3 linked regions of the Oreochromis niloticus genome follow. The protein of the gene in region 3 binds, or shares a complex with, the protein of the main gene of each other region. Links are inferred from orthologs where the notes say so. Each region holds a gene or a part of one and is shown on either strand. Other genes may lie near its edges.

The links.
Region 1: baz1a (region 3) and chrac1 share a complex: the UniProt entries of both Homo sapiens proteins name them as parts of the CHRAC ISWI chromatin remodeling complex. The link is inferred for Oreochromis niloticus from reciprocal best matches to the Homo sapiens genes BAZ1A and CHRAC1.
Region 2: baz1a (region 3) and pole3 share a complex: the UniProt entries of both Homo sapiens proteins name them as parts of the CHRAC ISWI chromatin remodeling complex. The link is inferred for Oreochromis niloticus from reciprocal best matches to the Homo sapiens genes BAZ1A and POLE3.

Annotation. Positions count from the first base shown.
Region 1 is NC_031985.2:21,144,995-21,153,096, reverse strand, and holds the start of chrac1 (chromatin accessibility complex protein 1), read left to right. Parts: upstream 1-4,992; 5' UTR 4,993-5,077; coding exon 5,078-5,236; intron 5,237-5,361; coding exon 5,362-5,488; intron 5,489-7,792; coding exon 7,793-7,875; 3' UTR 7,876-8,102. Other genes in the region: protein naked cuticle homolog 2, read right to left, coding at 693-763, 869-895, 1,000-1,024; gatad1 (GATA zinc finger domain-containing protein 1), read right to left, coding at 2,225-2,415, 2,503-2,686, 2,817-2,876, 2,959-3,081, 3,931-4,110. UniProt on the Homo sapiens protein: Forms a complex with DNA polymerase epsilon subunit POLE3 and binds naked DNA, which is then incorporated into chromatin, aided by the nucleosome remodeling activity of ISWI/SNF2H and ACF1.
Region 2 is NC_031965.2:5,276,391-5,284,563, forward strand, and holds the start of pole3 (DNA polymerase epsilon subunit 3), read right to left. Parts: upstream 3,111-8,173; 5' UTR 2,716-3,110; coding exon 2,650-2,715; intron 1-2,649. UniProt on the Homo sapiens protein: Accessory component of the DNA polymerase epsilon complex. Participates in DNA repair and in chromosomal DNA replication.
Region 3 is NC_031983.2:2,740,608-2,748,070, reverse strand, and holds the start of baz1a (bromodomain adjacent to zinc finger domain protein 1A), read left to right. Parts: upstream 1-4,336; 5' UTR 4,337-4,485; exon of another isoform or gene 4,486-4,596; intron 4,597-4,800; 5' UTR 4,801-4,827; coding exon 4,828-4,940; intron 4,941-7,463. UniProt on the Homo sapiens protein: Regulatory subunit of the ATP-dependent ACF-1 and ACF-5 ISWI chromatin remodeling complexes, which form ordered nucleosome arrays on chromatin and slide edge- and center-positioned histone octamers away from their original location on the DNA template to facilitate access to DNA during DNA-templated processes such as DNA replication, transcription, and repair.

The sequences.
Region 1 (8,102 bases), on a different chromosome or scaffold from region 3:
ATTTATGCAATGCAACAGCCACACTTCACCCACTCCAGCCCCAAACACCCCACCTCACACCCTCACCCGTCTGGCTGGGGCAGGAAAGCAGTCCCAGATGTGGATTTTTTTTTTCTTTTTTCTCTTTTTCCCCCTCAGTGAAGTTGGGCATAAAGACCTCGCTGTCTGGAGGGGGGTGGGTGTGCTGAACTTCACAGACTTGGAAGTCTCTTTATAGAGATGGAGGAGGAAGGGTGGAGAAATAAATAAACGACCACCTTCCAAACATCTTTTATGTCTCCTGGATAGATGTGAGCAGTTTGTCCCCAAGCTGGCACGACTGAAATGAAGCCCTGGACGCTGTGTTAAAGGCGTTTAAAGAGGCAGTGCGGTTTTTTCCTGCACCATAAGAACACATGTATTTGGCTTTAATGTTGCCTCATGTGCATTTATTTATTTGTTGAAAGCAGCTTACACAAAATGTGATTTTGCTTTTTGGGCCCTACATTATTACCGAAATTACTAGTAAAACCTGGCTGGTTTCCGGAGCTGAATAGTACCCGGGCATAACTGCACCAGCTTCAGGTCTAACCTCTTTTCTGTCAGCACCAGATCAGCGCAGTGATACAGGAAACGTACCTGAGGTGAGCGAGTTATAGGTTAGCTTTTTTAGAATTGGTTATTAATATAAGAACAATTACAAAACTCATTACCTCTGTCAGCTTTCTTCTGCATATGTGGCTACTCTGCGACTCTCTCAGCACACTGGAAGCCAAACTCCGTCCTGTAGAGGATAAAAGCAACCATTTATTTTTTTAAAAGAAAAGAAAAAATATTAATAAATCCATGTACAAATGAGCTATGACAGCATGTGTCTTTTCTGTCTTACCTTCTGGACTCTGCCTGGGCTTCGAAGCTGCCCAAATAATGAGATGACAATGAGCGCTAGTGATAAGACATTTCAAGTATTTCATTTCTAATAATAATAAAAAAAGAAGCTAACTAGATGTAACTTCTCACCGTGTTTGGACTGGAATTTGCCCATACTGTGATCAAGAAATGTTCACCATGTCCAGCCCAGAAAGGAAAAATAACTCAAGACATGAGGAAGAGTTTTCGCGGACTGGGAATTTCACCGACTACTCCAAAGTTTCACCGAGACGTTTATCCAAGAGTGCACAGGCAGAGAGAGGGATGACTGCCGCGCACTTCCTGCTTCGGTTAAATTCGGTTTGATTGGTTAGAGATCTGTGATACACGCGACCCAACCTTACGTCTGTAAATCAAAGTAACTGTTTTTATTGTGTGCGCGTTTAAACAACTCTGGACAGCATCCGACTGAGAAACGGACACAAACCACCGACTTAAAGACTTTTCAATGAGACGTTCACGGTCAGAGCTTCACTGACACAAGTGGGTTCATTCCAGTCTTTAGACACCACCAGTCTCTAACATTTTGACATAAATCAAACGTGACATTTGTTTAATCAGGATGCTAAAACAAAAAACAATCAGATCTCTCTGTTAATGTTTTTTTTTTTAAACATTTATTTGTATCATTTTTTTAAGGAACAAAAGACAAATCACAGGCAACAGTAGTGATGGAAAAGAGCTTTTTGTTTATTATCAAATACAAAAGTAACATTTCTATGGAAACTTGTTTCTGCCACTGGGAAAAAAAAAAAAAAGTGGTGTAAACAAGTTTCCATATGTTTCAGCATCACAGCTTGTGAATAACTTGTTCACAAAGCAATAAGACACATCCTTACCATCAACTTACAACTCGCCTTGAAATGTGAATTAATGAGCAGAAAACTCCAAAATCATTATCTCCTTAATAAATGAAGGAATCTCTGTATGCATTTTTCGTCTCTTCCCCTTCAAACTTGGCGGGTGTATGGACTGAGGCAGTGCCAAGTTTGATGTAATTCGGGGGGTGTCTCATTTGTGATGCTTCTTCCTGTTACTAGTCATTGAAAGACCCCGTCGCTCCTGTTGCTAGGCGTCACTAAAAACAAATGTCACATTTCAGACCGTCCTGTATCCTCACAGATGACACAGTCCTCCCAGATATCAGCGTTTATTACATTTAAACTTTATTTACATTTAAACCTCCACTGACTGCAACATCTACCACTGCAGATACTCTGCTGATGTGCCGGCAACTGCAGACCCTGCACTAGCATGATGAGAATGTACATTTATTTCTTTAAAAACAGAGTCCATGTCTTTAATCACAGTCCCACTAACTGCTGGCACTGACAGACTCTTTGACAGTGTGGGCCGGTGTGGGTCCTATGTGGGTCCAGATATAGCCTTTTTCTGGTCGTATTGGGATAGTAGGGAATGGGGTGCTCCGAGACTTGAAGTACTCAGAGGGGGCGTGGCACACAAACTCCAAATACTCCATCTTTCTTGGCAGATCCTCCTCTGGACCTATTGCAAAACATGTTTGTTTGTTTTTTTAAAGCTTAAATGAACAAATTCCATTAGAGCACTGCATGATCCAGAATAACTGCTCACCAACAATATAAGTGCCAGGATCGAACTGGTCCTTTGGGCTGGCTTGAGTGGGGATGAGCCACGTCAGTGCTGCACTTTTTTCACAGTACTGATCCTGCACAAAGCCTCGAATCTGAGCGTAGTAAGGCTTCCCGTCTTCTTCATCCGTTACCTTAATCACGTCTCCTATCTGGTAGTATACACCCTGTGATATATTGACAGTGATAAAGGATTAAGGTTTATTAAAGCAGTGATATAATTAATGCTTTGAAAAGATCAGAGCAATTTTAAGTGAAAGTATTGTTTCTCATGCCTGGCAACAATAAACACCGTACCTTATAAAATATGGATTCTGACGTGATGATAGTCGCTACGGATTCTGGTGCTTTGATTGGCTGAAAGGTTGGCACACACAAGGGTCAAACGCATGAACTCGAAAAGAAAGAAGAAAAATCTAATTTACATGATCAAACTTACATTTTTGAGTTTAAATATGTGTCGTCGTCCTTTTCCTTTGGTTGAGACTTTTTTCTCCGATGCAGGAGCTTTGTACTTGGTGCTTCTCAGACGTGCAGACCTTCTGTGGATCTCCTGCTTGGACTATAGACAAACACAAGAAGGGATCGGACAATTGACTGCAGCTTGTCAGTTGAAGAAGATGAAGAAAAATAAGCAATGAGACAATACTAAGACCAGTACTAACAACTACCAGTTTGTTTGTTAGTTAACTGATTAATCACTTAATATGAAAAATATTTCAGTAAAATGTGAAGCTATGTAATGTTTAAGGCATATAGTTTTACCCTTTAAGTTGGATTTCACTTGATAACAGACTGCTACATTACCAATTTTACTTAAAAATAAGGGTTAAATGATCTTGGGGGTTTGTTGAGATGTTTCGCCTCTCATTTAAAGATTTAAATACTTTCACTTTGTAGAACAAAAATGACTTTCATTTGAAGCATCACTTTTTATGTTCTCCCATCTGTATTTGGGCACAGGCTGCTGCACAAGAGCCTGAAAGTTGTGCCCAGTGCTTTCTCAGCCAATTATTATGATCAAATCTGCAACACCACATTTAAAACTCCTGGAGTCACACCGGCTTGTTTCTGTTAAACTGCTAAACTGTTTTACACATGAACAGTGAAGACTACAGTCTCGAAATGAGACCTGTGCTCTTCTAATAACTTTAGAAAAAATTCCCACAGACAGTGATCCTGAGTATTTAAACTGAAATAGAAAACCTTCCTATTTCAGCTGAGTGTGGTCTCCGGGAGCGCCATTATATTTTCCCTGTAGGATTATCTGTGAATGATGCAGCTGCAATGTCTGCACACAGCTCCAGCAGTCTAAAACAGAGCAAGAACCGCGCCTGAAGACAAACTCATGAGGCTTTACACCATCACAAACAGGCCTGGCTCTAATCTAGAAACACTGGGTTTCACTGACCTGTTTCCCTCCGCCATTGCTGGGCTGAGTGATGGAGGACAGGGAGGGTCCTGACGCCCCGCCGCTGGCGCTCTTTCCCGTGCAGCTGTTACACAGGATCTCTCCCTGGTTTCCTTTCTTCCACATCGAGGAAGAATTAGTCTTGCAAACGGCGCAACATGGTTTCAAACCCAGCGGCATCGTGGCCGCTTCTTAAAACGACGCCGGTGGGCGAAGAAACGACACAGAACTCACTGATAGGATGAAGATGCTCCGTTTGTGTGGCTGTGACTCCGACAGGGAGGCTGAAATCTTCCTTCTGTGGCACTTCGACTTTAAACAAACAGGTATGGCTCTGAGTTACTTGCGAGAACAGCCAAATTGATCAGAAACCTGGATTGTTTATATCTGTAGCCCATTTATAGCCACTACTAGCGGCACCATTCTTCTTCTGCGCTGGCGCCTGCCATCAGTTCTTCTTCTTTGGTTTAGATTTAGGTACAGGACTAAATCACGCGACGCCACTGGACTGGAGGACACAACGTTTAAAGAGGCAAGTGAGCTTGTGAGAGTGTGAAAATGTTGATTAATTTAAACCAATCGTGTTGTGGTAGTGATAAATTACGATTGGTTAAAACAACACAATGAGTAGGTAATATGTTTAGCTGTTTTTCTCAGATGCATAATGTACAAATTATTTATTAATTTGCCCGCTTGCACAAAATGAGTCTTACCGTTCCACTTTTTACTAACTTAATTTTTCTTTTACTTTTTTGAAATCATTGTTGTATATGTAAATTTTGATGTATAATGCCCTCACTATGCGCCTGTGACACTGCTGTTTATTTATTGTAAGTTGTACTATTTTTATTCATTATCCTGCTGTAACAAAGTTACAACAAATTTCCATTCATTCATCCACCCGTGTACAAAGATAAAAGATAAATATTTTAATTAAAGTGTTTTTATATATGTGTGTGTGTGTGTGTGTGTGTGTGTGTGTGTGTGTGTGTGTGTCAGCTTGTAAAAACCAGCCTCTCCGGCAGGAGGCGATGTTACAGCGTTGAGTCCGCCAGACGGTTTTAATCTGGTCAGACGAAGAAGAAACAAACCGCGTCACAGTTCAAAACAATACTTGGAAGTTCCGCTTGTCTCGCGCCCTGCTCTTATGAAGATGTCTCAAAACAGCTCAGGCAAAGACGACCAAGCGTCAGGCAGCAAAAAGCCGATCTCTCTGCCGATATCCAGGGTGAGGCTGATCATGAAGAGCTCCCCTGATGTCTCCAGTATCAACCAGGACGCTCTTTTCCTCACCACCAAAGCTACAGTAAGCTAAACCTCATCCGCAGCTCATTCATTTGCTAACACGTTTAGCACCGTTAGCTTGTCTAGGGCATGTGAGCTGAAGCAGCGCGTTTGTGTCTGTCTCCTGTTGTTTTGTTGTTGTTTTAGGAGCTGTTTGTACAACACCTGGCTCTATCCTCCTTCAACAACGGCTCAGGGAAGGAAACAAACAGCCTGTCGTACAGCGACCTGGCCAACACTGCTCAGGAGACAGAGACTTTCCATTTTCTCACAGGTAAGAAGCACCTGCAGGCACCTCAGCGGCCCTATGATGCACCAGCTGGTTACAGATCATACCTCAGACTGCACAGAGTCCAGATTGTTAGGAACAGTGAATTAATACTCCTGCCGTTGCTCTACGCACTGACTCACACAACGTCCGAATAATCGATTAATTTCCTGTTTCACACGATGTCTGAACCTACCTGCAGTGGCCTCACCCACAGTCTAAGAACTACTGTAATGATAACTGATCAGACTTTGGATTATTAGAGCGTTTAATGTGGTAACATAACCCAGCATCAGCAAGTGTAGATAAATGGGGAAACTGTGGTTCAGTTGTGGTCGTGTGTTTGCAGTTTCAAGGGATTTATGCTTCTGTTTCAAATCTACATCATAGAAACGCAACCCTAGAAATGTAACAGCTGTTCCATCACATTATTGTCTCCCCTAAATTGCTTTTGTTGTGTTTTGTGCACTTCTAGCTGCACCTCTCAGGTCCACTGTAAGGGACAAATATGTTTGTTTCCAAAAACAAAAACAAAAACAGAAAATAACTGACCACAACAAAAAGGAGAAAAAATAGCATTTTATTTGTTTCTGTCATAGCTGGTACTGCATATAAAACACTGGGACACCACCCTCAAGTAATAAACACACAAAACACCACAAAAGCATCAAGACTGGTAACAGCGTCAGCCACTTAAGTACATTACCCTGTAGGCTCTACAAAAAAATCATCGCAGAAGTCTAAAGGGCAAAATCTGGTTGAGCTGCGGTAGCATATTTGCAGTCCACTGGCAGCTTCAAACTAACTGTCTACCTGCAGAGAGCATCTGCTGTCAGATGCATCAAAAACATGTCATGTAACCGGTCTGTGGGTCTTTCTTGTGCTGTTGATGGTCCGTCAGCTGACTGTGGAAAAGAGTGAAGTTATAACATACAAAAACCCAAAGAGAAACTGAGTGTTAAAAGCAATCAAAAGTGTCCACTCCAGACATTGTCTGTGCTTTTTATTCTGTATTTCTGATCTTTGATGTTTTTTCTCCTCATGCTTCTCCCGCTCCTGGCCTGCCTGTTAACATGTGACCCTTGCAAAGCGAGCATTGGTTGACAGCCCCTGCCTGTAGCATCTCTGTGGTCAAATACAACAACAAACGGACATGATTCCATAAATTAAGCATAAGCAGGAGGGGTACATCAGGAACGGCATCTGATAAAACATTTGTACCAAATCAAACACGCAGATCAATCCGCTCTGGTTATCCCTTAGGAAATAAGGGAGCAGCTGACAGTACCTCCACCAGCTGAACACAAGAAGACCAAATTAATCGATTAATAAAAAAAATAATTAAATTAACTGATTAAGAAAAGAATAAGTATTAGAAACGCTGCTTGGTATGATGTAGTATAAACAAAAAGGCTCTAAAATCTCCATAAAACTAAAACTCATTTTAACAGTTTTAACAAAAATCAAAAGTTGTAACCTTCAAGAAAGGATGAGTTAGTTTAGCCAGCTTTACTTTAAGGATTATTTAAAGTAGCACTGTTTTTAAGTCTCTCAGGCACTGCTTTAACCCTTAAACACCATCAATAAGAGTTTTATCTCTCTCATAACTTCATTTTATCTCCTGTGGTGTTCTTGGGTCTGTATCCAAACAGCTCACACTCACTCACTGCTTTGTTACTTTTGAACGCCGGGCTGTCTGAATCCAGCGATTCAGGGGGTTTAAGGTGGAAATGCTCGGGCATGTTGCTGCTCGTTTTGCCTGTGATATCTGCGGTACTTCTGGCTGCTCAGTTGTTTTGGGAGAGGTCACCAGAGCGTGCATGTTTGATTTGGCACAGAATTACACTGGCTGCCCTTCCTGATGCTTTCCTTCTAGCCATTTATCCAGGCTGGGGGCAGAGACTAGGTGTACACCAGATTGTGTCCCCTTCTGTCGAGGCTTTGTAAGGCGAACATGTTAAACACTACACCGCGGAGCCACTTGTGCTCAGCATGTGTCTTCTGGACATATGATGATGTCAAGGTTTTAAAAATGGCTTTTCTGTAAAAACATTTTGTAAACAGTTTGTTATAATCTATAAAAAGTGAAATATCAGATGCATTTTAAATATACAGAAGCTTAAACATTAATGTGAAAGTAAATTTTAGTGCAGCTGTGCAGTGTGTCGACTCTTTGACAGCCAAGTTAAAACCATCTGAGTCTTCCTAATACTCTTGTGTTAATATCACTCACTGACCAGCAACAAAAAATGAGATCTTTTCCTTCAACTATGCATTTAAAAAAATTTTTTGCTTTGTTTTCCTGGACAGATATTCTGCCTAAGAAGATCTTGGCTCAAGATTACCTCAACTCTTTGGAGCAAATGCAAGAAGAAGAAGGAGCTGATTACTGAAACAGGTGGATGGTCCACATTTTCCATCTGGACAGATGTTATCACATCTACTCGTCCAGCCTGTCGCCGAAAGCAAAGTGACCGTCAGTAAAAGACACTTGAACTCTCAAGTTCATCTTCAGGGCTTTTGTAAGAAGTTAGAGGACATGGAACTAAAAGCAAACCCACACGGGGTCAATGTGAAATCAAGTGAAGACTCAAATTTCAACCCCCCCCCCCCCCCCCCC
Region 2 (8,173 bases), on a different chromosome or scaffold from region 3:
ATTTTGCGAGCCCTGAACCCACATGAGTCACTCTGAAGGGGCACACAAACTGCAGCAGCTCTGCACTGAGGAAACAAGCCACATTCGCTTATTTTGTGCAGAATATTGTGGGACATTACGTTATATTGATCAGCCGCTGCCCACATTAAACTGTGACTGTCACCAGTTAATGTAGTTGTGTTTCCTGAATTAGCAAGTGTTGTTAAACAGGTGAACAGGATTTCCGGTGTTCCAGATTATCTGGCGTGGCAAATTAACTGGTGACGGTCGAACAGATGTGTGGTAGACTTGCTTTTAAGGAGCCGCTACCGACAAACCAGCAAAAAAAAAAACACTAAATATTTCATCTGTGACATTTGTGAGGTTACCTCAAACACAGGCCGTCCGTCTTGTTGCTGTTGAACAGCAAGATATTTAAAAATGTCGCGAGTTTACCTGGTGATATTCTCATGCACGAAGAGACCGCGAAAACCGCAAACAAATAAACATCACCACGCTGATACTGTTCACAAGACAGCAAAAGTAAACGATCTGGAGAATCTCGTCTTCGTTATCGTTCCCCTTGCACGTTTTATTACTCCGATTTCAGCGTTTTCGCTTCACAACTAAAGCGTGCAGTTTACTTTGTGAGCACTCAAATTGAGTCGAGTCAACTAGCATCACCTGTGGCCAAGTGCCATAGTCTACTTGTAACACACATCTGCACCACGTTTGAATTTGTTTCGTGCACAATACGTTTGTAACTTTCATTTTTTTCTGTTTGTGCGTCCTGCAAATAAACCTTTAAACTAAATGAAATGGTATTATGTAATTATTTTTGGCCTACATCAGTCGGAAATGCAAAATTATATACACAAAGTTGTAGAAAGTCACCACTCCCATTGTTCATAATGATTTTAATATTTTTTTCCATAACAAAGAAATATGTCTTGAACAAATATATTACACATTACTATTTCCCTAGTGTTGTAACATCACATCCTGTTAGCATAGTCTGCCTGTGTTTTTTCTCTGGAAATGAACATTTTGATCCAATATAGGTAATACATCAACATGGCTGGAGAGAGTTGGTAGTTATATACAGTCTGTATAAGTGTGGTTAATTTAACAAACATTTGTAAGGAGATGGGAGTTACTGTGAATTTACAGCAGTTACACAGTGATTAGTAATAAACAGAGCCAGTCTGATTGAGTAGAGCTTGTGAGAGTGAGTGGATTTAAAAAAGTGAGTGACTCAGGTGTCTCAGTTGGTTTGTCATAAGTTTTTGAGTGTTGAGGTGAGTTTGATTTTTTTTGTTTTAAAGCTAAGCTAAGAATATTCATAATTTAATTTCCAGAACTTGCATATGATGCAAGTGATGACTGACGTATCACATAGCAGCTGGAGCGGTCTCAAATGGAGTTCAGTCCACTACTGCCACCTGTGGCCAAGTGCCATAGCCTACTACCAGATGAACTTGTGACACGGCTGCACTTACACCTGGAGCATTCAAATCGACCCCCAAACATGTGGAAAGATGCAATGCCAGCAATGTGGATTGTCAGGACTAAAACCAGTCATTAAGCAAAGACAACAGGGATCTTTTTTTTTTCCTGTTTATTTAGCATTCAGAACATTTGTAGTCACCTTCTGTACAGGGGAAGTCCAGAAAAAACATAAATAATTCACAGTACCTGCCATCTCCTTATGGGAAAAAATATTAAAATCATTATGAACAATGGGAGTGGTGACTTCTATAACTTTGTGTATATAATTTGGCCAAAAATAATTACATAATACCATTTCATTTAGTTTAAAGGTTTATTTGCAAGACGCACAAACAGAAAAAAATGAAAGTTACAAACGTATTGTGCACGAAACAAATTCAAACGTGGTGCAGATGTGTGTTACAAGTTAATCTAGAGTCTAGATTCTAGACTATGGCACTTGGCCACAGGTGACGCTAGTTGACTCGACTCAATTTGAGTGCACACAAAGTAAACTGCACGCTTTAGTTGTGAAGCGAAAACGCTGAAATCGGAGTAATAAAATGTACGAGGGGAACGATAACGAAGACGAGATTCTCCAGATCGTTTACTTTTGCTGTCTTGTGAACAGTATCGGCGTGGCGACGTTTATTTGTTTGCGGTTTTCGCGGTCTCCTCGTGCATGAGAATATCACCAGGTAAACTCGCGACATTTTTAAATATCTTGCTGTTCAACAGCAACAAGGCGGACGGCCTGTGTTTGAGATAACCTCACAAATGTCACAGATGAAATATTTAGTGTTTTTTTGCTGGTTTGTCGGTAGCGGCTCCTTAAAAGCAAGTCTACCACACATCTGTTCGACAGTCACCAGTTAATTTGCCACGCCAGATAATCTGGAACACCGGCGAGCTGATCGGTGGTGTCGTGAGGGAAATGTCAGCACGTTATTTATGTTACAGAAAGACAGCGGATGGAACATCTGAAAAACGGAGAGTGGAATACATAAGCAAATCTAACCGGTTAACGTAAAAAACAGTTAACCTGGGTCACCGGCGACCTCCCAGAATTGCGTCCTGTATTTGTTTGGCGTATTTAAGCATCCTCAGCGTGTATAAAACAAACAAAAAGACAAACCGCGCGCGACATTGTGACTGCTATCGTCTTTCGATGTTCACACTCACCGCCTCCTTGATGATGCGGGTGATTACCGCGTTGGGAAGGTTCAGGTCTTCTGGCCTCTCTGCCATTGTTCTCACTGTTTAATGTGCATTTATCTGGGCCCGCTGTATGTGCACCGCTGTTTCCGCCGCTCTAGGAGAACAGATTTAGCCGTTATCGTTGCTAAAAGGCTGTGGAGGACTGTTACCGCTGAGCTAACCGATTAGCGTCGTTGACAATGCTGTGTGCGTGGAGTTACTCAGTTCAGCAACCCCACGATAAAACTCCCTCCGTTTCAGGGCGTACGTTATATGAAGACACTGATATTTATCTGTTAAGTCTGAAAGGTTCAACTACAAACTCCGGTTGAAATTGTACGCGTTCACGTCAGAGTCGACTTATTTTCAGACATTTCCCGCGAATCTTCCAACTACCACGAAGCTCCTACGTCAGCAATAAACTTCGACCTCTGACCTTCTTGTGACGTATGTCCGCTGTTAACGGGTGCAAAAAAGTCATTATGTAAAAATATTTTGATACAAATAAATGCATAAAACTGAGCAAAAATTCAAGAGTAGTCGTAAAAGTGTAATGTAAGTGTAATGTTTAATTTTCACAGTATAAAAAATGAAATAAAATATGAAAGTCTTCATCAAGGACTTGTGATTAACAAGTTAACTAATAAGGAAGCATTTCATACCAACGATAGAAATATCCTCCATTTTGGAACATACTAAGATCAAGAATTACAGTTAATTCTTATTTTTACAACAGCATTTGTTTCCATTCAAAGGCTTTATAGCTTTTCCTATAATACCTGGTGGGTACTCTAGTCATAATGCCCGGGTTGATTTTTTTGTCCCAGTCCAGCCCTGCCTTTAACACAGTATGTTGAATCTTAGCCTTGAATGTCCCACGTAGTGCAATGTGTAACATTTATCCATTTACTGCACCTGCAGTACCTGTATGTAGTCAAATGTGTGGTAATGATACAGATAATGAAATGTAGTTATTAATAAAAATGTATGTAATGAAGACCAATTGATTCAGTTGATTAATTTTCTCTGTGTGCTCTGTAGTGTGTGTCTATAAACGCCCTGAATGCTGTGATGTATATAATGAATATAATGAGCTCATTTTATAAAGTTATGTTATTAAATCCCTGCTGATATTTTGGCTGACTTTTATCATTTCAAGTGGACACTTTCAAGTGATTTTTGGGTGTGTAGGTTTGCTTGTTGACAACAACTTGGACTCAGGGAGATGACGAAACACCCACATCTGTTCCATACCACAGTCATGGAGGATGTTACAGCTTTGACAGCACTTTGAACTTAGCATCAAGCTCCCACACAGGAAGACCTTCAACCTTGCAGGAGAGACTGCCTCAGTGATGTTTGACTCTGTGTCCTCTGCTTTACCTCCTAATCTGTTTCTCCTTTAACACACAATTCAAATCATTTCTAACAGAGTCATGTACAGTTATTAAGAATGAAGTCTGTAACTTCCTCACATTTGTACTATTACTTGTTTCATGAGTTATATTTAGGGAGAGTAAAGTTATTCACATAAATGACTTTTTTCCATTTTGCATTATGTTGTAAATGTACAGATCACTAGTCATACTGAATGTTAATGTGCAGACCAGGTGAATATCAAGTCTAAACTTGTTTAATTACACGTTCAGCAGACATCAAAGAAAACATCCTCATCCAGCTAAACTGGTATATTTTTTCAACCGTATGAATTCCAATCTAAAGTGAATTCACTGTTTGAGCTCAGTTTCACTCTTTAACTCCCAAGAATAATACCTGGCTGAATAATCTTCTGGTTTGATGATTGGCAGATAGTTTAAAAACTTTTTGCTAAGGCTGAGAATAAGAAAAGAGAAATGCTAACTGAAAAAAACTACAACAGATGTCTGAATGCATGAATTATTCCCAGGTAAGGATATGCCTAAAAGTTCCTCTGGAAATTTTTCCATGACAAAAATGTTTTATTACGCATCCAAGTTACTTAAGTGTTCTCGGATGAGTTGTGTAATTTTTCTCCCACTGTAAAATGTTGTGTCCACTTGAATTTAACCAACTTTTTGAGGCTGAAAAAGTCGTTGTTAGATGCGGAAATTCTCACTAAAACTGAGCGAGAATAAAAGTTCTTACATAATATGTGAAACTGACCCCTTTGATCACAGGTCATCTTGCTAACACCCAAAATCTGGTTTGGTGTTTACATTTCTAATTTCTCCTCCTAATCACCTTCAATTAAAAGGTACAACCCAAAGCTGCTATATCTTAACAGAGTTTAAAGCACTTAACTGAGCGCAATGAAGGGGCAGAATGTAATATCCCAATATGATGACACATGGTCAGAGGTAACTCATGCATAACCCAGCATTTTACAAATGTAAACTTTCTTATTATACGTTGGATTTATTGGTTCTGTAGACCAGCTCAGGGATGTGAACTCTGCCACAGGTCTCATCATCATCTACCTAAAATTAAGGCATTTATTATTTTGTCTGTTCCCTGTTATCTTGCTTGGGGACAGATTTTTGGCTGATCTTAACAAGTGGTCATTGATCTCTCTCTGGAATTGCTGCACGGAGGATGTGACGCCTACGTAAAGTGCTGAGGTTTGTCTCTTTGTTAGGATGAAGCCATCCTCAGCTTCAGGTAAGGAAAAGTGGAACAAAAGATAATTAAATACATCTCTCCACATCTGCTGATGAATTCTTCAAAAACAAGAAACAGTTCGTTAAAAACACTTGAAGTAAAATTCACCACTCATTTACCAGTGACATCCATTAACTGACTAACTACAGTAAAATTAACTGGGACAGAACTGAATTTCAACAGTGTACTGTATAAAGTGAAAGTTTATTTGGCAGATGTGGTGTGATGCGTGTGTGACTTTCAACAGGATCCTCCAAAACTTTACAGTACTCATGCTACTTTACCAAACTCTTGATGCTGGATGTGCAGTTTCTGCTTTACATGCATTCATTGTTTATATTCAACAATCTAAGATCAGATTTTTCACGGGCCAAAGTTGTGTGTATTTCCACATTATTTACTGTTTACATCACAGCATTCCGAGCCTTTATAGCCAGGGCACACTGGAAAATTAAAAAACTGAATCCATTTCAGCTTTGGTTTTCTTTACATATAATTTATAAATAACTAAATTTCACTATCTGTATGTTTACCACACATTGATTACATATAAGTGATGTAGGTGCAGTAAATGGTCAAATGCTACATATACTGAACATTCAATGCTAAGATTCAACATACCGTGGTCAGAGGCTGTGTCTAGTTGAGAATGAATGTGTCCTCTTGTGTAATTACAACAAATGAACTTAAATCAGTAATGTCATTTCTACTCTCTGCCTTGGCAGAGGGCAGTAATATAAGGAATGATAAAAGTGACAGCTATCATTGTAATCACCCTTTCTCAGTTCTTTTAACACTTAAGTATCAGAAAGTTATTATGGTAACATCTGGACTGATGTGTTTACAGACAGCATTTTAATCATGGCTCAGTGATTTAAAGGCTGTAGGTTGCAGCCATTGCTCTAACAATGTGTATAAATGTTGAGTGAAAACACTACGTCCAAATGAACAGAATCAGTGTTTTGGGAAAGAATCCTTTCATCTAAAACAGAGGGATTATGTCACTTAGTATATCCTGCAAAAGTAATACATGTTCCTAAACAGTGTTGGTCAAGTTACTTGAAAAAAGTAATCAGTTACTAATTACTGATTACTTCCCCCCAAAAGTAATCCCGTTACTTTACTGATTACTTATTTTCAAAAGTAATTAATTACTTAGTTACTTAGTTAGTTACTTTTTAAAAACACGATTTACAACCTGAATAGGTGATAAAGCGATAGATCTTCCAGGCCAGTTCTACTTTTTCTGCATAATTCATCATACAAAATGTAATCAAATGGAAAAGTCTCTTTTTAAAACTTGTTTTATTAGTTTTAATCTTTTAACTTTATGCATCAAGCAAAAATTAAATTATATGCAACATTCTCTGACTGGAAGAAATTTGTTTAACATTTAAACCTATTTTCTGCACATTCCAGCACATAAAATAAAATTTTTTGTGTGTTTACACTCACTCTTTCAAATAGATGCAAGTAAAACACAGCAGAAAATAAATAAAATCAAAGACTAGCGGTCCTGTTGCTCTATTTTCACCTGTAAAGCAGGACTGGGGTAGGCGGAGGTTTACCCTGGTGCAGGTGTGCTGCAGCGGTCAGTGGAAGAATCCGCGAGTTTCTCTGTGAATTTCACATTACGTCGTGGTACACTCGGTGCTTGCTTGGAAGTTTAGGGTTTTTTTCGCTGTAAAAAGAAGTTTTCTTCCCACGCACAACGGACACATGTTTTTGTCACTTTTTATGGAATCAAACTCAAAATAAGGTCAGTACTTCCACGCTTTAAACGCTGCATGCTACACTCTGTCCCGCACTCGATATATTATGATCTGCACACAGCTGTTGTCACGAACGTCGCACTCGCTTACGTCACTGTCATGAGACGTTCTCGCAAAAAATCACGGTTTTAGTAACGCAGTAACGCAGCGTTCCTACGTGAAAGTAACGGTAATCTAATTACCGTTTTTGCAATAGTAATCCCTTACATTACTCGTTACTTGAAAAAAGTAATCAGATTACAGTAACGCGTTACTGCCCATCTCTGTTCCTAAATCATTCATAGATTCTGCACTTTATAATTTTGTCTGGAAAAATAAATATAATTATTTAAATAGATCTGTACTAAATAATCGTTATAATCAAGGGGGTTTAAATATGTTAGATTTCAATACATCAGATGTGATATTCAAGATGAACTGGATCAAATATTTCATTAGAGACAAACATAGATTATGATATTTAACACCAAACCTTAAGAATTCCTTCTTAAATGTGATTTTGATGTCAACAAAATTCCCATTCACTTATCTATTTTTCACAGACAGGCATTATCATGTTGGCTTCTACTCTGCACGTTTTTGTGTTTTCACCTTCAGATCCCCTGTGCCACCTGCTCCTGGATCAAAGACTTCCTCACCAACTGACCTCAATCAGTTCAACTACTTCCAAGCACTTTTTTCTCCAATGTGTGCTGTTCTATTGTTTTATATATATTCCTATGGTTTGTCTATATTCCTCTTGATTGTGTTAATTTTTCCTGTTTGTCATTTATTGGTGCTGTCTTGCTATTTATGTTTTATTCCAGTTTTAATTTCGTTATACATGTGACATGTGACATGTGACAACGACAATAAAGGCATTATTCTATTCTATTCTTGTCTACAAACATAAATTTTCCCAACATAAATCTCTTATTTGAAATAACAAAAACATTAAATACAAAAATAAATCAATGTTTTACAAGAAATGGATCCAAAATAATATTAATTATGTATCTAAACTAATGAATGAAAAACGTCAGGAGTTGTTGAGGACTTTTGATGTCCCAGGGTCTGTGAGAGAACACAGTTTTTGATGCAATTGCAATTATTTTTTTAAG
Region 3 (7,463 bases):
ATTCTTCCACTGGGTTTGCTGTTCAGCCTTCACTCTTTGGGTAACCCACTGCGTGTTTTCTATATAAAACTCATGTGGGCCCTATGTAGACTAGCCCATGAAAAGCCCATAGCAGTTTGGCTATTCTGGGGTTTCTGGGCAACCGATAATCAACTTATCCTCAGAAAAAGTTCACTGCCCCCCATTTGATTTAGGCCCTACAGTAGTTTTACCCTTCAGGCCCCCCATGAGTAGGCAACCCACAATGGGTGTGCCCATAAGAGACTGATGTAGAGCACAGGGGCTATCGACCATGTGTGGACACACCCACTTGGGTGAAGAGGCCATGCTACCAGCAGGTTGGCTTCATGCTAAGCTAAGCTAGCGAATACCTAAACATACAGTGAAGATTAGACTATGAAATAAGACGTTACCGTTAAGTTATTTATTAAATTGAGTACACAGATAAGCTACACAAAACACCACTGTGTTTTGTAACTGCACCGCAGAGAGACAACACCAATTCCTCATCTCCAAAGCAACCTCCGTCTCACCTGGACTCCAGCCCTTTGGCCCCTCCTCCGTTCGTGTCTGTGGGAGGTCCGATGACACATCTGGATTTAATCATTAGTTTTTATTAATCTCTGGGTCTCTTTCACAGTCTCTGTCCTGTCCACTCACCCCAAAGCAGTTGCAGCAATGGCCTCCCCACCCAGAGCCTGGTTCTGCCAGAGGTTTCTTCCTGTTAAAAGGGAGCTTCCCACTGTTGCCAAAACGCATATGTCATATGATTGTTAAGGTTTTCTCCGTTTTCTCTGTATTATTGTAGGGTCTTTTTACCTTACAATATAAAGCGCCTTGAGGTACAAATGGGATTCGAGTAGTACCCAGTAGTTCAACTTTTAGTTGAATTGTTAGTTTGCATGCATATCGATCCCTCTTGATCGATTGGTTCATTTGCACTTGTGGATCAGTGGATTTCAGTTTGTGTGCCAGAGAAGGAAAATATTGTCTACAGCATGGATATGGATATTACTTTTATTTTTTTTTAAATGACGCAAGGTAAAATGAGGTAGGTAATTATGAGACAGTGTGTTTCAGCTATTTTATCAAGTAACAAGTAGGGTAACAAATTACTTTTAAGAAAAGTCTTCTGTGTAATATGTGTAATACATTACTTTTTTTGACTAACGACCCCAAGACTGATCACAACAAAGATGAGAAATACCTCGAACATGCACAAACATCTGACATGCACACAATTCATTTGCAGAATATAATGTCTTTGATATGTTGCTGAGTCCCAGAGTGAAACCAATAAGAAACCAATAAAACCAGCAGGTTTAGGAACAGCTTCTTCCCCACAGCTGTCACCCTACTGAACCCTGCTGACCCTTTCCATCCACACTCACTTAACCCTTCTATGCTCCTCCTCCCCCCATCCCTCCCAATGACCATGATCATGACTGTCATTCATTCTCAACATTCACCACATGCTCACATTGGTTGCTGCTATAGTTTAGGACACTGACAGAGTCTCTGTTATAGTGCCTACACTGTTCACTATTATGGTCTGTTCAGAGCTCTACGCTTCCACTGCTGTAGATATATTCATAGCACTCTCTATATCTGTTTACCTCACACCGCTACATCTGTATATCTGTCCATCTGTACAGCAATATAGAACATCTGTATGCTATAGAGATTATCTGTATATACATATACATATGAATACAACATTAGGTCTGTACATCTGTATATTTGGTCTCTACTTAACTTATCTGTATATAAGCTGCTCTTATTGCACTTACTGCTCTTGCACTTCTGATTAGATGCAAACTGTATTTCTTACCCTGTATTTATACATATGTAATGACAGTGAAGTTGAATCCTGATTGTTTTTGTGATTTGGCACTATATAAATAAAACTGAACTGAATTCAAATAAATTAAATTTTGAATTGAATTAATTAATATATAGTGTAAAGGACCATACACCCATGGGTGTATGGTCCTTTACAATTAATTAATTCAGTGAGCAGAAAGGCCATGACACACACGCAAGAAAGCGAACAACAACAAAAACAGGTAAATGGGCAGCAGCAGCAGAAGCATTGAGGGAGATGAGTTTCAGGCTCAGGCTGCTGTCTCAGTGCAGAGTTTCCAGCCTGAGACCTCCTGTGGTTCTTGTGCTGACAGAGTTAGAAGAGCAAAAAGACAGAAAATGCAGTCCACACCTGTACAAGCTTGGAATAGGTAAGTGCATCAGGACATGAGGCGTGGTTGATGATGTTTGACAAGTGTCATCAGTTACTATGAAACCGTGTAATCAATATATACTAATATTGTAATATTGTATTGTAAGATTAGTGTGGTACAGTTGTTTAAAACTGTAAGATAAAACAGATGCTAATAATCATCAGGACCACAAAAGCAAAGCACTGTTTACAAAACTTCCTACATTTGCTATTTTAATCTTTATTTACAGCTGTATGTCACAAAAATACAGTTTTTCCCCTGATTGTTGTGCAGTTATCATTTTATCATAATAGGTCATAAGTAAGTTTTGAAGCCCTTTTTTTCTGATTTTATATTGTTGGTTGAAATAACAATAAGATATAATCATTTATCATTAAGTGCTTATTCCTGGTTAATAATATGTTTCCTAGCCTAACCTGTCATCTGTTTAAAACACTACTAATTTTCTGTGGAAAAAACACTAACATGTTTTCATTCACAAATTCATATGATCTAAGGACGCTGATAACATACAGTGTCATTCTTCAAAAACATTTTACCTTTTACACGTGCATGTCAAACTTATGCGCTGATATGGGCGCGGCTAGCGCATTTTGCCGACTTCCGGGAACTAATACGAGGAATTAACCATGATGACGCGCGTCTCCAATCTACGGCTCTGTGTAGCTGCGGAAAGGAGGTGGGGGGGCTTTTCATAAAGACTGGTTGGTTGGCAGATAAAACATGGCAGGTCAGCGGACCAACAGCCTTTGAGGAAGACAGGAAAACCCTCCCACCAAGTCTCTGGATGGTGCATTTGGGTGAAGCTAACCAATTTAGAAACAAAGTCTTTTAATGTTTTAGTAAGCGGTTTTCTACGGAAGCGTAGAGCTGCCACCCAGGCAAAAGAAAAATAGAAGTATATCACGTTATAACGTGATATACTTCTATTTTTCTTTTTTCTCTTTTTTCTCTTATTTGCTGTTGCATCTTGTGATCATGTTCTGGAGTTTAGTTTAGTTCCACTTTTTGTTTTTATGAGTATTTGCTTTATTGTTTTAATCATAGTTCATTGCTATAATTCTGAAGTAAATATTCTTGGTAGAATTTCAGCTGCTCAGCCGCACAGGCTGCCATTTTTATACGTTTTCTATGTTTCTATGCACTGTGTTTATCTCCCAACACTTATGTTACTGTGCAGCCATGATGATTTAATACATCCAAAATATGGTGTGACACTGTCATGGACTTCTTAACAATGTGTTATTTTAATTTTTTTTCTCTTCCCCCCCCCCACACACATTTTTAAGTATGTTTTTCTTTGTTAAACTGTACATTTAATAAATTTAAAACACATTTGTTTGAAAAAGAAAAAACACATTTTTTGTCTGTGTCACTGGGCTCTTTGTAATTATTGCTTTTATACACAGCAAATAATATGAAATAAGAAAAACATAGAGCCGATTAATAAAAATAACAATAAGTTGTTGTCGGTGACACAATAGTGAATCACAGCCCCCTTTGAACCAGTAACAGCAATAGAATCAGTAGACCAAAAACTAGATAGAGAGATACTTTATTGAGCCCACAAGGGAAACTGCTGCACCTGGTGAGAGCCTTATACTATGAGATTTATAGGAATGATAAAAAACAAAGAAAAGTAAAAATTAAGTTAGTTAAAAACAGTAAAAGTAAGACTAACATTGTGTAAATGATGCAAAGTGCAATGAATTATATGTACACTATAAATCTCAGAAATACACCTGCATGAAGGTATAGTACAAAAATTGTTTTGGGATCATCTGAATGAATAGTTATGACACAGCATTATAGAGAATAGTAAGAACCAAGCTGAATCAATCTGACGGAGAGGGAGCTCTGCTGAATCATAACTGTGGAGTAGAGACGGTGTGATGGGTCAGGGAGACCGGTTTGGAACTATTTGGAAATAATTCATTCAGTGTCCATCATATGTTCTTTTAGTACTTTATTTTTTTCTGATTTCATAATTACACTTACATAGTTTTACTTTAATAACATTTCAGATGTAGTATTTCTATTTGTAACAGAGTAATTTTAAACGGTGGTAGTAGTGCTTTTAATTTAGTGAAGAATGCAGATTAAGCGAAACCGTAATATTTCCCAGCTCGTTGTAGGTCCGTGAAGTACACGAAAACTTGGTCAACAAGCCGCCAGTGAGCGGCTTTTCAGCCCGGGACTTCTTCCTCAGATTGGACGGCGTATTATCGCTTCTTTGTTACACAACTCGGTAAAGACCATCAGAAACGTGTTTTTAGCTGTTCTCCACTAGGAGCGAGTGGATGTGGGCTTTTTTGATTTTTATTTTACTCTCTAAGAGTTGAGTGTGTCGATTTACACGGTGAGGAGTACACTTCCATGTGGTCAGATTATCAGCGCGTCTAACAAAAGACCCGCTCACCTCCTCTTGTCTCCTACCACTCGGTTAATCTCCGCCGCGTTCACAGTCCGGGTTCCGGGTTTACTTTACTTTGATGTGTTTGGTCAGAGTTTAGGTCTGATATTCGGATATTGTGATCCAGTTTCCTTCTTCTTATTTTCTAAGTGCGGCCGGTGGAAGCGGAGCTGAAAGATGCCGCTTCTCCACAGAAAACCCTTCATCCGACAGAAACCCCCGGCGGACCTACGACCAGACGAGGAGGTGTTTCTCTGTAAAATTACGCACGAAATCTTCAGGACCTACGAGTAAGTACCTTACAGCCACTTGTCTCACCTGGGGGGTTCTTTAAAGAGTCACTTGAACTGAAGTTTGAACTATGTCTCATTGACAGTTGGTGCTTGGCAAACTTCCAAACAAGATGAACAAAAAACAACTTTATTGTCTTGAAAAAAAAAAAAAACCAAGAAAACTTTTGTGGGCTTGCGCGGGGGGATGCATGCCCCCCCTTCTCCCGCGCCATTAAAACGTAGGTTAAAGCAGGTAGTCGGGTTTGAAGGTGGGATTTGGCAGGTGTAATGTTATCCAAGTCAGTTAGCCAAATGAAGCTAAAGTGGGTTAGCTGGGTAAGCTAACACTAAAGCTGTCAGTGAGCCGGCGGTTAGCACAGCTAGTTTTAGCTGTTAGCTTGATGTAGTGAGGCTCGGTATCCGTTCATAGTTCAAGTCTGTTGCACCCACCTGCTGAGGTCCAGCGCACTAAAAGTGCTTTTTAAGAGCACACATGAAGTTTGCGAACTTACTCGGTCAGTTTTCCGAGGGGAAAAAAATCAAAGAAGTTCTCTGCTTTTACTCCAAAGTGAAGTTACAGTTCCGCTAAACTCGACGTCAGTCTGAAGATACTCGGGCCAAATGGACTGTGGACGTCTTCAGCTGACTGCTTCAGTATATCGTGGCAGATTTGAGTACAAATTTTAGGTAACTGTACTTAAACATTATATGTAACTTCATACATCTGCTCCATTGTAACATAGTGGCAAATATGACACGACAAGTCCCAACTTCTGTTTTTTCTGACAGCTTTAGCAATAAAAAACGGTGCAAAACAAAAAGTGGCAGACCTCAAATTTGCATTCAAGTAAGATAAACCTTTGCCTTTATTTGGCTTTTTTATATAGAGACATGCTTATATTTTTGCCATAGAGTTATAATATGTGCAGATTGTACTAATTTTTCATTTGATGAAGTTAACATGGTGTAATCACTGACTGCATTTACATGTACACTTGTATTTCTGAGCATTATTCATATTGGCATACTGTACAAGTCTTAGAGGAGCCTTTGTTATGATATTGACAAAACTGAAAATTACTTCTGCATATAATTATTATGATTGATGGATCTGCTGGTTTGTTTTCTAGATTAGCACCTGCATATTTGTATCCCTCGTTCCCACGTATTGAAACAGTTCCCAATATTTTAACTGCCTCTAGTTAAAAGTCAAAAAGCCAAGTAGGTTCAAAAAGAGATTCACATTCTGTGGACGTCTTCTCACTGAAACCCAAAAGTGACTACAAGGCAGTTAACAGATGTTGCATAATTGATAAAGGCAAGCTTGGGCTTCCTAATGTGCGTTTTGGGGGGCGGCGGTAGCCTAGAGAGATGATTGGGAAAATTAAGTTCAAGTAAAACAAGAACATACAAAGAATGTAAAATTACACTAAAGAAGGAGCAAATATATCTGTCTACGTATACAACTGATGACACACCTGTAACCTGTATCATTTGTGTTTATTACGCTCTCTGTACAAATGTTTGTTGGGATCTGTTCTCCCTTTCTGGGAGCTAATCAGATCATTTGATTAGTTTTAATCAAGTAGATTGTAAATCTAACAGATTTTAATAAACTATGAAGAAACAGAGTTTACTAAAGAAACTTGAAGTGTTTCGGACACACAAACCTTACTTGGCCAGTCTCTCCTGCTACATTTTTCAATTTTGGATTTTAATATATACTTTTAATTTGTCTTGAGACAGCGTTGCATTGGCTTTAGTAAGGGATACCACCCTCAGTCTTATTTTGGATGTTTGTCTGCTTCATAACAGTTAGGCTGTACGGTACAAGCCTGTACTACAGAGCAGAAGGTTGAATTATCCAGATAACTTTACTGTTAACCCTGGAGCTTTCTGGTTGCCTAATGTTTGGGACAAACACAATATTTATTTATTTATTTCTGTACACCACCACAGCCTTTTGTAAATCAAACAATATAATGTTGAAGTGCACACTTGCAGTTGTTGTGGGGTCTTTAACTTAACATCTAAAGTGTCTTGAGGTGACTGTTGTTGTGTTTTGGCTCTACATAAGTAAATACATGTAAAATTCAGTGTCTGCCTGAAGTCTACAACCAGTTTCCTCCTTTGCATTGGTTTGCTGGACCTTTACTGCAGCCATCTTCAGTTGCTGCTTGTGGGTTATTCTGCATTCAGTTTTGTATTTGACCTCCTTGGACCTGGCGTCCACATATGTGGACATCACATTTTGGGTTATTTAGACCAAAATACTAAAGTTTGCTCTACAAGGGCCTGATATCCACTTACAAGGACATTATGCTGCTACTGTTCTATCGAAATTTTAAACGAATATCCTCATATGTGGATCTCATATTTCTTAGAAACAAAAATCAGGTAAAAAAAAAAATCAGGTAATTCTTTGTTTTTACATTCATCAGGTCCCAATATGCCCAAATATCAAAGAGAAATAAAAAATGCATGCCATGATAGAGTTCAGGTCTTAGGAGGTTATTAATGGAAAAGTATGCTCTGTTAGGC